2 linked regions of the Diceros bicornis minor genome follow. The protein of the gene in region 2 binds, or shares a complex with, the protein of the main gene of each other region. Links are inferred from orthologs where the notes say so. Each region holds a gene or a part of one and is shown on either strand. Other genes may lie near its edges.

The links. The genes of interacting proteins can lie anywhere in the genome.
Region 1: THOC6 (region 2) and SARNP share a complex: the UniProt entries of both Homo sapiens proteins name them as parts of the transcription/export (TREX) complex. The link is inferred for Diceros bicornis minor from reciprocal best matches to the Homo sapiens genes THOC6 and SARNP.

What each region holds. Positions count from the first base shown.
Region 1 is NC_080756.1:12,865,150-12,872,427, reverse strand, and holds the start of SARNP (SAP domain-containing ribonucleoprotein), read right to left. Parts: upstream 3,087-7,278; 5' UTR 2,996-3,086; coding exon 2,960-2,995; intron 1-2,959. Other genes in the region: ORMDL2 (ORM1-like protein 2), read left to right, coding at 3,277-3,410, 4,304-4,478, 4,647-4,798, 5,386-5,521; DNAJC14 (dnaJ homolog subfamily C member 14), read right to left, coding at 6,859-7,069. UniProt on the Homo sapiens protein: Binds both single-stranded and double-stranded DNA with higher affinity for the single-stranded form. Specifically binds to scaffold/matrix attachment region DNA. Also binds single-stranded RNA. Enhances RNA unwinding activity of DDX39A.
Region 2 is NC_080765.1:45,503,495-45,510,859, forward strand, and holds THOC6 (THO complex subunit 6 homolog), read right to left. Parts: upstream 3,074-7,365; 5' UTR 3,032-3,073; coding exon 2,993-3,031; intron 2,416-2,992; coding exon 2,300-2,415; intron 2,203-2,299; coding exon 2,138-2,202; intron 2,048-2,137; coding exon 1,944-2,047; intron 1,855-1,943; coding exon 1,817-1,854; intron 1,736-1,816; coding exon 1,687-1,735; intron 1,566-1,686; coding exon 1,494-1,565; intron 1,408-1,493; coding exon 1,305-1,407; intron 1,220-1,304; coding exon 1,170-1,219; intron 1,080-1,169; coding exon 1,017-1,079; intron 918-1,016; coding exon 807-917; intron 721-806; coding exon 586-720; intron 506-585; coding exon 425-505; 3' UTR 349-424; downstream 1-348. Other genes in the region: HCFC1R1 (host cell factor C1 regulator 1), read left to right, coding at 3,439-3,533, 3,850-3,906, 4,011-4,139, 4,364-4,499; TNFRSF12A (tumor necrosis factor receptor superfamily member 12A), read right to left, coding at 5,544-5,599, 5,683-5,817, 6,065-6,169, 6,908-7,001. UniProt on the Homo sapiens protein: Component of the THO subcomplex of the TREX complex which is thought to couple mRNA transcription, processing and nuclear export, and which specifically associates with spliced mRNA and not with unspliced pre-mRNA.

The sequences.
Region 1 (7,278 bases), on a different chromosome or scaffold from region 2:
CGGGTTCGGATCCCGGGCGCGCGCAGACGCACCGCTTCTCCGGCCATGCTGAGGCCGCGTCCCACATACAGCAGCAGGAGGGATGTGCATCTATGACATGCAACTATCTACGGGGGCTTTGGGGGAAAAAAATAAATAAATAAAATTAAAAAAAAAAAAAAATCTAACCGGTGAAATCTCTCCCTCTCCAGACCCCATTCTCGGTACTGCCAAAAGAACACAAAACTGATCATATCAGCTCCTCCTTTCAAATTTCCAAAGGCTCCCCATCTTCTGCCTACATGACAAACACTAAACACCTTACACAACTTAAAGGGCCCTTTTCAATATCACTCCAATCTACCTTTATAGTCACACAGTTCACCGACTTTCCTTTCCATCTTCAACCAGTAACATATACGCGTTACGCTTCAATATTACAAATGTCTCATTGTTCTAAACACTCTGACACTAGTTCTGACACTTTGACCTTGTCGTTCTCTCCTTGCAGTAGTCCTTTTCTTCTTCTTTTTTTTTTTTGGTGAGGGAGATTGGCCCTGAGCTAACATCCATTGCCAATCTTCCTCTTTCTGCTTGAGGAAGATTGTCCCTGAGCTAACATCTGTGCCAATCCTCCTCTATTTTGTACATGGGAGGCTGCCACAGCATGGCTTGATGAGTGGTGTTGTGCAGGTCCGTGCCCAGGCCGCCAAAGCAGGTGATCTTAACCACTACACCATGGGGCCAGCCCCTGCAGTAGCCCCTTTGCTCACCATTGACTGGAGATCTGGTACTATTGCAGTTCAAGGAATTTTCACCCACAATTCAGTCTCTTTCCAACTGTGTTAGAACGACTGCATTTCTACAGAATCATCAGAAATTTGCAGTTGACGTGAACTTACATATCAATTCAGATAGAAAATATTTTTCCTTCCTACTTCAAAGCTTGTTCCTTTCCTCTGAGAACCCTACTAAAGCCCCAAATTCTCCTAGTAAAAATGGAAAGACTTTTTAAAAAAGAGATAAAACCCTAAGTCAACCCAAAAGTCAGGATCACTCCATCAAGATCAACAGTGGAACCAAACATTAACTGTCCTGGAAGTTAGAATGAAAGGCATGGGTTCTTAACCGGAGGTCCATGGACTCCTCAGGGCTATAAGGTAGTTTTATGAAGCCCCTCAAATCGCATGCAAAGTATGTGTACATGCTTTTTTCTGGGCAGAGGGTCCATACCTTTCATCAGAGTTTCAAAGATATCTGTGACCTCCAAAAGGTTAAGAAGTGTTCTAGAGAAAAAGCAAAGACAAGCAAATGTGATTAAAAGAGTGAATCCTTTTCAGGCTGTCAGGAGTGCCTCATGCTCTTTCAGTCTATAATACCTGAAATCAGGTCAAAGGACATTATCCAACCAAAATCAAATTTAATATAGACCTGACAAACACAGGTTTCATGGAAGAAGGAACTCCATAAACCAATACAAAAATCCACAAACGCAAGTCACAAGGCTGATGACTTAACTTCAGGAGCTTCAAAAATGGGACTAATCGGAAGAAAACATTAGATCTTCTATTCATATTTCCTTTTTATCTCATTCATTCAAAAATTCCTTTTCTGTACATCTTTCATAACATACATAACAGTATGGCAGTACATAATTTATATAAGTAAGTACTATACATATAATGGAGGTGACTGCTCAATTTTTTTTACTTATCGTGATATTACGACACTACCGATATAATCTACACATTTCAGTACCGCTAAATTGACAGTAACTCCAGGATAACACAAAAACCCACTAGTATACTTTAGAATCCAAGCATAAGAAATCCATTAGCTTTCACAGAAAGGCTAATTGGTGTCAACCAATAAGTGACTAAAAGAAGCTCTCCCTATCCTTACTCTCACACTTTTTTTTTTTTTAAAGGATCAGTTTTCGGATTCCGCTAAATCAGCCTGGTTTATCCAAGGTTCCCAGAACGATGTGACCAAAACACCTGATGGGAAAACTACTTGTGAAACCACAAATGGACAACTAATCAAGATATTCTCAATTCACCCTAAAAGAAACTACTCTTTTCTTCCAGGAAAATAATCAACTAAATGTGAGAAAACTACCAAGATTCCCAAAAGACACAACTTAAAACAGCTTCTGTGGTGGAGAGTGGCACCCAGCGGAGACACGAACAGAGGCAAGGTCCATCCCCGATATGAAACGGGACAGAGATAACCCTAACCTCGGAAGTGCTTTTCCAAAACATCCCAGCTCTGAGCGAGTTGTCCCTCGGGTAGGGGATGCGGGGGCGGGGGCGGGGGGAGGCTGGCGGGAAGAGAACCGCGTGAGAGAACGCGAAAACTTTTCGGTCTGCGGGATCCGTGCCTTCACTAACTCTAAGGTCTCCGAAACCCAGGCTTCCACGCGGAGGCCTATCTTCGGAGGCTTCTCCTCAGGTTTCAAAGTTCGCCCCGGGGGCGTAACCCCACCTAAAAAAAGGAGTGGAAGCATTTTCTGGATCACGTTTGAGACCTAGACAGACGGAAAACACAAAGGTGCCACCACCTGCTAACGGGAATCTCAGCTTCGGACGACAGACAGGGGAGCATCAAGCCAGGGAAGAAAAAGGGGTGCTAGGTCCGGCGTGGGGCGAAGAGGAGCGGACCACTGACGTAATGCAGCTTCGAGGAGAAACGAGGAGGAAGGATAACAGGTTGAAGGCGCTTACACCAGCCGGTGGGGAAAGGAAACGGACGACACAACGATGAGGAAGGGAGCCGGAATAACGCCAGACAGCCGTGAGAAGAAATGGGAAATTAGGCAAGGCGTATGGGAAAGATAGGAGGCACAAAAGAAAAGAACTACGAGGGGAGCCGGCAAACGAAGTGGAAAAGCCGGTAAAGAGAACATGTAGGAAAAGGCGCAAGCCACCAGCAGAATTCAGTCCCCAGAGAGCCCAGCTCAGCCCTTCCCCGTTCCCGCTACCTTTAGCTTGTGCAGCTCCACCGTCTCCGTCGCCATCTTGTTACCCCTCCACTCCGCCAGGCCCCCACCCGCTGCCTCCGCCTCCCGGAGCTCCCGCCTGGGCGCAGCCAGCCACGGCCGACCAATCGCTGCCACTCTTACTCCCACCTCGGACCATCAACTCTCCCCGTTAGTCAACAGCTGGCGTCGCTCTCACTCCTCTAAGCAGCTCTCCCCTCCTGTCTCTGAAGGTGGGACAGGGTGGAGGGCGGCTTCTGCACTTTCTGAACGACTTAAGTGGCGACCAATTGTGCGTCTCCAATGCAGACCGCCAGCCAATGGGTGGCAGCAGCGCTGATTCTGCTCCACCAATCGGGAGAGTGCAGATGGGCGAGGGCGGCTGCTTCCTGGAGATCGCAGGTGTGGAAGCGAGCCCTGCGCCCCAGGCTGGACGGGCTTCTGAAGCAGGCAGGTAGGGGCTGCCGGGAGACTGGAACGGGGTGCCGAGAAAAACGGTGGGAGGCAAAAGGGGAGGGGGCGGTGAGTGGAGCGGCGGCGAGTTAAATACCGAGAGAAGAGCGCTGAAGAGAGCCCGGAGGGGAGCCAACGAACGAGAGAGGGAAGCTGGGAGGAGCACAGGGCGGGTTCAATACTAGGATTCAGGGAATTTCAGGTAGAGAGGGGCGGATAAGAGCTGCTTCTTACTAGGCATCATCAACGGGCCAAGTTCAGACGACCAGAGCCGCCCCTGAAGTCGGGGCTAGGGCTCCATCTCTCGAGACGCTGAGCTTAGGTCTCATCCTATCCAAAAGCCTTGGTCAAAGTCTGGCAGCGCCCCAGGCTTGAGAGAAGGAATTGGGGTGCTGGCTGCTTACGTGCCAAGAGGTTGACAGAACCGGCAAGCCCCTGAGGAAAAGGTGGGGATTAGAAGTAGCTTTACCCTTCTTTCTCCTCCGTAATGATTCATTGTTTCCCATGACCCTCTTCTGGAATTCTGGGTGTATGTAACCTCTCATGATTTCTTATTAACGTCTTCAGGAAAGTAAAGTGAGATACTAATGTTTCCCTTGCTCCTTGAAGCAGGTGCCCCAAGCTTAGGCTTACTCCTTCAAGTTACAGTTGAAGTGTAAGGATCAGAGTAAAAATTACCATTATATGTCTCTAAAATGCAGAGAGGACTCTTCGTGCCTTTTAAGTTTTTTCCCCCAAGTCTTCAGTTTTTCCTTTGTGCATGATGGGGAAGTTCTTTCATTCTAATAGAGTTCAAGGGATTTTGGCTATTCAGAAGACAACTTCGGGAACAAACTCAAAGAGGGGTTGAGAGGAAATTGAGTTGGACTCCTGTCTGATCCCCTACTGTGGTAGGATGAATGTGGGGGTGGCACACAGCGAAGTAAACCCCAACACTCGAGTGATGAATAGCCGGGGCATCTGGCTGGCCTACATCATCTTGGTAGGACTGCTGCATGTGGTTCTACTCAGCATCCCTTTCTTCAGCATTCCTGTTGTCTGGACCCTGACCAACGTCATCCATAACTTGGTGAGCACTAAACCATGCCCTTTTACCCACCCCAGGCCTTTCCAAACCAAAAACAATAAAATCATCAATTATTTGGGGATTTATGTCTTCCTTTTGGGATCTTAGCATAATTCTTTGGCTGAAGGACTACTTTCTGCCCCCTCACACTGCCCCCTTCCCTCCTCCCAGGCTATGTATATCTTCCTACATACTGTGAAAGGGACACCCTTTGAAACTCCTGACCAAGGAAAGGCTCGGCTACTGACATACTGGGAACAGATGGACTACGGGCTCCAATTTACCTCTTCCCGCAAATTCCTCAGCATCTCTCCTATTGTACTGTGAGTCCAGGGGGAGATATGGGAGATGCTCCAAGAGCCAGGTACAAAGGCCCACAGGGAAGCTTTAGAAAAGCAGACTACTCATTCAGACCCTTTGAAGATATTATGGTATACTAGGTCTAAATCTAGAGAGAGTAGTAAAAAGTAGAATACAGTACTCAAGCATCCCTTGCTGCCTCCTTAGTGGTAGGGGACTGAGAAAAGATAAAATACCAAGTAAAACCAAATAATTTTACACTTCCAAAAGAAGTGAATAAATAAAGGTAGAACTGATGTAAATCTGTAAAAACTAACAGTGGGGAGTGGAAGCAAAGAGGACTCTAACAGTCATATAGGCTAAAACTGCTTCAGCTGTCATTTGCCACATGTCATTAACAATTAAAACACACACAAACTAACTTATAAATCTCCAGTTAAAGGTGCTATTTGATTATCTCCCCAACCCCAAAGTAAATACTGTTACTAGAGCTGGACTATTTCAGACATCCTAGGACTATTTCATTTAAAATAGAAGAGAAAGTCACTGGAAAGGCATGAATATGGATAGGGGAGGCCAACTTCACTCAACCTATTTCTTCTCTCCCCAGCTACCTCCTGGCCAGCTTCTACACCACGCATGATGCTGTTCACTTCCTCATCAACACAGCCTCATTGCTCAGCGTACTGCTGCCTAAGTTGCCCCAGTTCCATGGGGTTCGTCTCTTTGGCATCAACAAATACTGAGGGATGGGGCTGGGGACGACGTTGGAACAAAGGACTGCGACATCCTTCCCTTCTCCATACTGTCTTCTATGTCTTGAAAGCCTCAGAACTATACAACCTTTCCCAAACTCCCAAGAAGAGAATAGATTGGAAAATGCAGCTCCCTGGGCCAAGCCCTGGTAGGAACAGGTTTCTTTGAATCAGGAAAGGCAGGTGAGGTAAGGACCAAATCATTCTCATCCACAGCAGGAAGCCATGTTTGGGCAGCTTTGTTTGGTAATTAAGTTTTTCCATAGCTTCCACCCCCACTACCTTCTAGCTCTGTTCTGCTATGTATGTTCCTTATAATAAAGATCATTTTTTTTCAGATATGGCTACAGTTTGGTCAGCAGGAAGGGTAGGAAGATGTCCTCATGAGGCTGGGGAAGAAAGATGGAACAGTGATTTACTGTACAAAACTTCTTTAAGGTATTTTTTTATCCCCTCTCCCTTGGTCCAGTAGGAGGTGCCCTTCACGCGCAGCTAACACTTAGTAGAGAAAGGATTCTCAAATGAGAAAAAGGGCTCCAGCTATATGGGCAAAGAAGAGAGGGAAGATACAGGTTGCCAGTTATATATTTATAGAAAGATAATCCCCTGGCTTTAAATAGATATGTACATACAAATATGAACAAACTTAAAAAAATACAAACCCTTGGATCATAAGGGTGCCGCTGGGAGCCCCTTTATCCTTCCCCCTCACCCAAGGGCAAAGGGCATGAGTCGCTTTTTAAAAATTACTAGTTTTGGCCATCCCTGCAGCAACAAGCATGAAGTTGGGTGATGACCCACAATGGTGAAAGTCAGAGGAAAAATTCAGAGTTCCCACTCTCTGAACTCTAAATATCTCCTATAATTAGGGCTACATGCTTTCTTGTTCTGTCTTTTATCTAGTATACTGGAGTAAAGGAGGGGGCTCCCTTCTGAAATGGGTCAAGAACTAAGATAGTTTAAAAAGAGGAGAAAAAGTCATCTGCTCTGGAAGCAAAAGACAAGACAAAGGCATACAGACCCTAGGGAAATACCCGGTTCCCACACCACTATGGGGAATACTGTCCAGCCCAGGCCCAGGCCCTCGATTCTTTGCTCTAGACACCCCCTATTTCTTTGGTATTGTCAGAAGACAAGATTCAGTTCCTGGGTGCTGGTGGAGGAGGGAGAGTGGTTCCAGGGCTTCCTACAAGTACTGAGTGAACAATTTGAGCTTAAAATTTTCCCTTTTTTAAATATTTAAAAATAAACAAATCAAACTCCATCCTGTGCTGTACACAGCCCTTTTGACTCCCTGACATTGATCTGAGGAAAGAAGAGACGGGGTGTCAACGTTGGAAGGGCCTCCTCACTTTCTTCCGCCGCTTCGGTTTGGCTTCTCCCTTGGGTACTGTGCTGTTGGGCTTGGAGGCTGCAGTGGCCCCAGGGCCAGGCTGAGGAGCTGCAAAGAAGTTTCCGTTAGACATCTGGCCTGGGGGTACTTGAAAGATCCGGCTCAAGAAATCCTGAAGGTCAGCAGGAGGGGCATCTGGGGTGGCTCTGAGAGGAAAACAGAAAGAATAATGAGACGAGATATTAAGAGTCATATGGTTTCCTATGTTATCTATTTATACCTAAGTTAAAGATCTACTGGGTTAGTTGCCAAACTTCTTAAAGGGTGAGACATCTAGGTGTCCTAAACAGCATGTTATCTGAAACCATATTCAGAACTAGAATAGTAGATAGATTATTGAAAGAAATACCACCTA
Region 2 (7,365 bases):
CATGCCCTCTCAGGCTCACTTTCCTCTTCCAGCCAGTGGAGCGACAGGGCCCCGACTGTCTTCCAAAGGGGGCTGGTGCCCTCCCCGCCCCAGGAGGCTGGGCAGGGGCTCACTGGGAGCAGGGGCCAGCTTTGGGGACCAGGCGCCCCAGGTGGTGGCGGGAGCAGGTGGGGCAGAGCTGTCTATTTTTCTAATCTACATAGGTCTATCTTTTCTAAGCACTAGGCCCCCTGGCATGCTCTACGACAGGGATGGGGGTGGGTATTTATGTATCAAGATCAGACAGAGTAATATATAAATCATTACACCGACCTGGCCTCCATTCTTGGGAAGAAAGCACATGGAACAAAAGCCTGAAATTTTATTTGTAAAAAAAGAAATAAAAACACTGCAAATCCCTGGAATGGGAGACTGCCGAGGGAGATCAGAAGGACAGGGAGAAGGCGCGGTAGCCCAGATTGGTGAAGACATCCACCCGGCAGCTGTTGCCCGCAGCTGTCAGGACCTGGAGGCAAGGTGGGGCTGACTGACCTGCCCACACTGCCCTGGCCTCCCAGGCTCCCCATAGCCCCTTGCCGGACCCACCTTGCACTCAGGGGCTGCTGGCTGCTGGTTGAGGCTGAGGCTGAGTAGCCCTGGGGAGGAGCCAGGCACCTGGGCCTTGAGCTCCCCGCTCAGTTGCCACTGGTTGACGCAGCGGCCCTGGCCAGCTGACAGAATCTGTGGGGGGCAGGGAGGGGGATCAGCGTTCAGGGCTGGAGAGGAGAGCCAGACAGGGGTGGCATAAGCAAGACAGAGGGCCTCACCAGGTCCTGGTAGAAGGTGACGTGCTTCTGTGGAGCCCGCATAGGGAAGATGGTGGTGGGTGTGGAGGATCGGAGGTGCCACAGAGTAAGTGCTGGGCCCCCTCCACAGACCTGGACAGAAAGGTGGGGGTCCCCAGCCACTGTGAGCCACAGGCCCTCAGCTGGCAGGGCCCAGAGCTGCCTCCCCATCCTGCCCTCTGCCCGGCTCACCATCCAGTCTGAGTCAGTTGCCAAACATCCGATCCAGCGCCCATTGTGGGGCCTCGAGCACTCCTGGGAGGGAGCAGGGGAAGAAAGGAGGAGGTGAAGACGCAGGGGATGCCCAGGGAGAAGGAAGGGAGGACGCGTGCAGTGTGCCCTCACCTCGTGCTTATAGACCTCGATCGTCTGGACCTCCTTGGCCGTGCGAAGGTCTGTGAGGGAAGAACCATGAGAGGCATCCTACTTGCCCCAGTCTCCCTCACCACCGTCTTTCCCTCCAACCAGACGTTCCCTTACCCCAAAGTCGCACAGCTCCATCCTCGCCCCCTGACAGCACCTCGGGGCTCCGCTCCCGCAGTGCCAGGCAGTGGATGTAGTCCGTGTGGCCCCGGAGGGCCCGCTACAGGGAGAGGGCCAGTGTCGGGACAAGATCTGGGAAGAAGGCCCGGTGCTGCCCTGACCACCCCAGCTCCGTGGCCATCTCACCGTGAAGGCCCCCGTCTCAAGGTCCATCGTATGCAATTGACAGTCTCCCCCCGCCAGGATGAGGGAATTCTCCTGCAGAGGAAGGCGAGGTGGGGTCGGAAGTCAATGTCAAATCAGGACAGGGAGAGGGGAAGGATCAAAGATTGGGCCAAGAAGAGGGCAGGGCAGAGCCCCAGTCACAAAGGGCTCAAACCTTGGGGACAAGAAGCAAAGCATTGATCTCAGGCACTTCCAGGCTGGTCCTGGGGGAGGGAAAGTGGCGTCAGCTCTGCTGAAGGGTACCTTCACCCCCACATGCCCCTGCCCACATGGCCCTGGCTCACCTGTATGGGGGCTGACGACGCCACAGCTCCTTACAGCCCTTGGTGGAGGAAACACTGGGTGACTTCAAAGGTTCTCTCTCTCTGGGGCTGGGCGCCCCAGCACTTCCCCCAGCCCCACGCTCCTTACCTTCTTGAGGATCTCCACCCAAAGCCAGGACTTCACCTCCCCATCCCCAGCGCTGAGCAGCTGCCGATCAGTGGAGACCATGCTGTAGACGGGCCCATCATGGGCTAAATGGAAACGCAGACCCTGAGTGACCCTGTCCTGCTCCCCTCCTCCACGCTGGGGTCCCCGAAGCCAGACTCAATGGCTGCACCCACCTTGGAAGGTCACCACGGGCTTCTTACTTTCCTCTTTGGCCTCGGAGCTCAAAGCAGCAGACAAGCTGAAGGGAGAGCGGAGAGGGTCAGAAGCAGGGGGCATCAGTACAGGAGGGCCAGGTGCCAGAGCTAATGGGTGGTGGGGAGCAGGGCCAAGGGTACCTGAAGATGGCTATCTGCCCGTAATTATTGCCGGCGGCAAGGAACTTCCCGCAGGGTGACACACTCTGGGAGAAAATGGTCATGTGCAGCCGCTGCAGGGCCTGAAACACTTCCACCTGTAGGGAGAGGCTGGATGAAGACCATCTGGGACCTCCAATCCACAGACTCCTTCCTGCTTCCCCTGCCGCCAGTCCAGCTTCCCACTGCACAGACTTCTCAGCCCTCCGTTGAGGCGGCCCACCAAGTGGGCACCTGCCCTCACAGTCCCAGGGGTGGCTCCAAGAAGAGGGCGAGGCGAGTAGAGTTGAGGCGTGATGCCTATAGGACCTTGAGCAAGCACCCAGCCTCTCGTCCAAATTTCCTCAACTGTCAAATGGACCTCACAGGACATTCTGTCAGATTGGATGAGGTACTGTACACAGAGTTTCACACAGGGGTGGCTCGTAGAAAGCGCTTAAAAAGTGGCTCTATTACCCCAATACAGAAAAACATGCTTACAATCCCTATCCTCCGACTTTCATGTTAGTCCTTTTAAGGATGTCTGGGTGATTCTCCCACCCCCGCGTCAGAGTCCGAGTCCCAGCCCAGAGCCCACCCAAAACAGGACTCAGGGCACGACTCCTCGCCCCCCCCTTCCGAGCCGGGCATGGACTACAAAGCCCAGAAGACACTGCGCAACCACGCCCGCCTCACCTGACCGAGAGGCACCGCCTGCGGCACAGCTCGCTCCATCACGAGAACTACAAGTCCCAGAGTGCTCCGCGCGCGACGCAACCTCACGAGTCCGGACGTGCCCGCGATCCGCTCCGCTTCGCGGCACCCCACCTCTCCAAGACCGCTGGCAGGCCCGGCGCGAAGGCGGCCGCCGCGTACTAACCCGAGCCCCAGGAACTGAGGTGACCGCCGCGAAGATCCTCGACACTAAGTAGCGCCCACCGCAGCCCCCCCTGAGCCGGATCCCCTCCCCCACCCTGCCGAGCAGATCCGCCTTCCAGCCACGCGCCGCCCGTCTTTCGCGCCTGCGCGGAACCTCCCCGCTGCGCGCGCCTACGGCCGCGCCCCTCGCGTTGGGCCACGCCCTTAGAGGCTCCGCCCCTGTCGCCTGGATCCCACCCCTGCCCTCGGGACCCCGAACCCCAATGATCCTGCAGCAGCCCCTGGAGCGAGGCCCCCTGGGTCGGGCCCAGCGCGATCCGCGGGCTGCCTCGGGGTCGCCCCGAGGCGTGGACACGAGGTGTGTGTGGAGGGGCCCTGGCTGGGCCTGGCCCAGGAGTGCAAGAGCTTTGGCTGGGGGCTCAGGGGAGGTCTGCAGGGTGACACGCGATGGGGCGAGTCGGCAGGGCTTGTACATGAGCTAAGACAGGGTTGGAGGCTCGAGACTGAGACTTCCGCGGCAGGCTGCTGGATGGCCAGGGAGAGAGGGGTGACTTAGGTGTCAGCTAAGACAGGGATGTGCTGGAGGCTCCTGGCTGACCCTGCAGGCTCAGGCAGGCAGATCCTCGGGATGGGGCCAAGAGGGTGGGGTGCACCTGGTTCTCTTTTCTTCCCAGCTCCCCTCTCCGAGGAGCCGTGCCCATGAGCACCAAGCGGCGCCTGGAGGAGGAGCAGTGAGTTTGGGGGCAGGGAGGGACTCCCAACAAGACCTCAGGTCCCCATCAGACTGCCTCCCCTCTGAATATCCCACCCTGCTTGCCTCCCTGTCTCTCTCTAGGGAACCCCTGCGCAAGCAGTTCCTGTCCGAGGAGAACATGGCCACCCACTTCTCTCGACTCAGCCTGCACAATGACCACCCTTATTGCAGCCCCCCCATGGCTTTCCTCCCAGCTCTGCCCCCACTCAGGTAGGCACTATCCACCATCCAGGGGCTGGGTCTTCTGGAGGATCATACCCGCTCCTGGGAGCTAACCTCCAGGCCCTGCCTCATCCTGCTATTTTTAGCTTCTAGCCAACTTCTGTTTCCCATCTTGGCTTCTTGGAAGGTGCCTACAGCAGGAGCCCCTGGTGGGGGATGGCTCTGCCAGGCCAGCCTCAGCCCTGTGCCCTGACTGTCCATTCCTCTTCCAGGAGCCCTTGCTCTGAGCTGCTTCTCTGGCGCTACCCTGGGAACCTGATCCCTGAGGCCCTCCGGCTGCTGAGGCTGGGGGACACCCCCACCTCCCACTACCCTGCAACCCCAGCTGGGGACATAATGGAGCTCTGAGTGCTGGTGGGCACTGCCCCTGCCCACCTTCCTTCTTCCCCACGACAGGGAGACCAGCACCCCCACGAAGGGACCAGCTGCCCTGCTTTTCCTCCATGACCTTCCCCTAACAGAGGAGGACACTGTGCCCACAGAGCCTGGGGTGGGAGGGGCAGGAACCTGGGAAGGGAGGCATTCCCCCCCCCCCACCCCACCCACAGGAGAACTGAATAAAGATTGCTGAGCAAATAAAGGTTTCAGTCTGGAACCTGGGGCCTTTGGGAAGAGGGGGAGGGCTGGGGCGCTGGATGCTGGGATTTCTCCTCAAGATCTTCCCTGGAAAACGGTCAGGGCCCGGGCCAGGTCCTGGCAGGCTGGGCTCAGGCATTGAGAATGTGTGAGTCAGAGCCTCACCCCCGCCCCCGCGGCTGACTCACTGCTCCCGCCAGCTCTGGGAAGTCGGGCTGGGGATCAGGACACTCTCCGAACCATTTAAAGTTAAAGATTCTTTTATTAATAAATTCTCCCTCCCCTCCAAACTTTCTCCCCAAAATAAATATCCCCCCCCCTTTGGGGATTTGGGGGCAGTGTCTTAGGGCCAGCCCCCCCTAGAGGGCCAGCCCCCTAGTGTTAGGAACAGGTCCCTAACCCCCCAGGGTGAGACCCCGTGGTGGAATTTCAGTACATCTGAGTGGGTGGGGCCTGGTGTTGTGTCTGTCCCTCAGGTCAGCCTGGCCCCCAGGCCATGGCGGGGAGAGGGACCCCCTTGTGCAAATGCTGCAGTTCCTTAGTGTCAGCTGTCTGGTGTGAGCCAGCGTGGGTCTCCTTTTCTGTTCTGGAGCCAGAGACAGGGCAGTCAGACACCTTGGAAGTCTCCTCGGAAGCCTGGGCCCAGACCTCAGAGCAGTGATTCACCCGAACCCCATCCTTCCACACCCCTGTGGTTGGAACAGCCTGGCTGGCTCTGGCTGTGTGTCTGGGAGGTAGGGGCTGGCTCCAGAATGAATGAATGAATGAATGAATGATGAGTAGGTGGGGCCTCCTGCTGGCAAGGGGCGCTCACTGTCACTGGATCAGCGCCACGCCAGGACAGCCCTCCCCGCCGGTCTCCTCGATGGGGGCTGCAAGACAAGCAGAAGGGTGGTCAAGAGCAGAGGAGAGGTTGGGGAGTTATGGAGGCGGCGGGCGGGCTGGGCACACTCACTGGTAAACTTCTCTCTCCTGCGGCACCGTCTCCAGACCAAGAAGCCGGAAAGCAGGCCCAGCACGAGGGCCAGGCTCAGAGCGCCCCCCAAGATGGGCCACAGCAGCCGGAAGGAGGCCGGAGGGGCCGCAGCGCCTGGGGGCGGGACTCGAAGTCAGACCTTACCCCTCTCCGGCCCAGCCCCGCCCCCTAGACCTGAGCCTGAAGCCTTTCCCCCACCGTGGCCCCCACCCTGATCCGAATCCCTTCCCTACTCCCGCCTCCCGCGTCCTCGCCCCCGCCATTAATTTCCCAGATCTGAAGCTCACTGCTTCCCTCTCCACCCCAGCACCCCCACCCCCAGTCAGGGGTCCGCTCGCCTCTGGCCCCGCCCCCCACTCACAGCCCAGGCAGAAGTCGCTGTGCGGTCGCGCCGGGCAAGACGCGCAGTCCATGCACTTGTCGAGGTCCGCGCTCCAGGAGCTGCCGCGAGAGCAGGGGGTGGTGCCTGGGGAGGGGGCCGCGGGTCAGAGGCTGGGGGCGGGGCGCGGCTATTCTGGGGGCTGAGGTCAGGGTCGGCCGGCTCGAATAACGTGAGTCACCGGCGCCCTCCCCCCGCATTCCTCACAGGTGACCGCACGCCTCGACCGGGACACGGCGGCGCGGAGGGAGGGGGCGTAGCGCGGGACGCGGGGGGGTGGAGGGGGATCAGGTCCCCACAACCCCCCCTGCCGCCGGCGGGTGACTCACTCCCGGGCACCGGGCCCGACCCCGGTCCCCTCCCCCCGCATAGCTGGGCACTGAAGTCACCGGATGGAAGGGGGCACCCCACATGGTATAGGGGGCACAGACCCCCGAGGCTCTCGACACCCCTCCCGACTCTTAGGTCACTGGAGCTGGGTAGACCCGGTGTTGACCTGGCTGGGGGCGTGCCCCCTCACCGGAGGAAACATCCCGCCCTAAACTTTTTCTCCACTTCCGAGTCCGGACTTTCAGGACAGAAGCCCCCCGAGTTAGAGAGGCGGGAAAACAGGCCTGAATCGTGGATGAAGCTCGAAGCGGGATGGGACTTCCCCTGGCGAGGGAGCGCAATGTCTGGAGACCACCTGACCCTCGATCCCCACGTCCGCCCAGTCACCCCAGTGCTGCCCCCTCCTCTAGGCCCCCAATGGCGACCTCCCTATCCCGAGCTGGGGGTTCCGGCCCCCACGCCCTCCCGCCCGGCCCCCGCCCCCGCCAGGCGTACCTGGCACCGGCTCCCCGGCGGCGGCGCGCAGCAGCGCCAGCCCGAGTCCCAGCACGAGGAGCCGCAGCCGCGGGCGCAGCGGGCCAGGAGCCATGGTGCGCGTCCGGCGGCCGCTGCCGACTGTGCCCGCCGCCTGCCGGCCCTCGCAGACAGCGGCGGCCCCGCCCCCGCCCCCGCCTTCCGGGGCGGATCCCTCGCCTCGGCCCGGCCCGCGATCCACTCCGGGACGTCCCGCCCCGCCCGGCCCGCTAAGTTCACCCGTTCGCTCAACAAACACGGTCTTCGCGCGCGAACGGCCGGGACCCTGCAGGGACTCAGACCCGCCTGGCCCTGCCCTCTCGCAGCTCAGGTCCGGGAGGTGTGTGTTAGGGGCAGGGGGAATCCGACACGAAACAACCCATGGCAGAGATAATTGCAGCTTTCTTAAGGACCCCAGGGGCATTAATAATAACAGAACA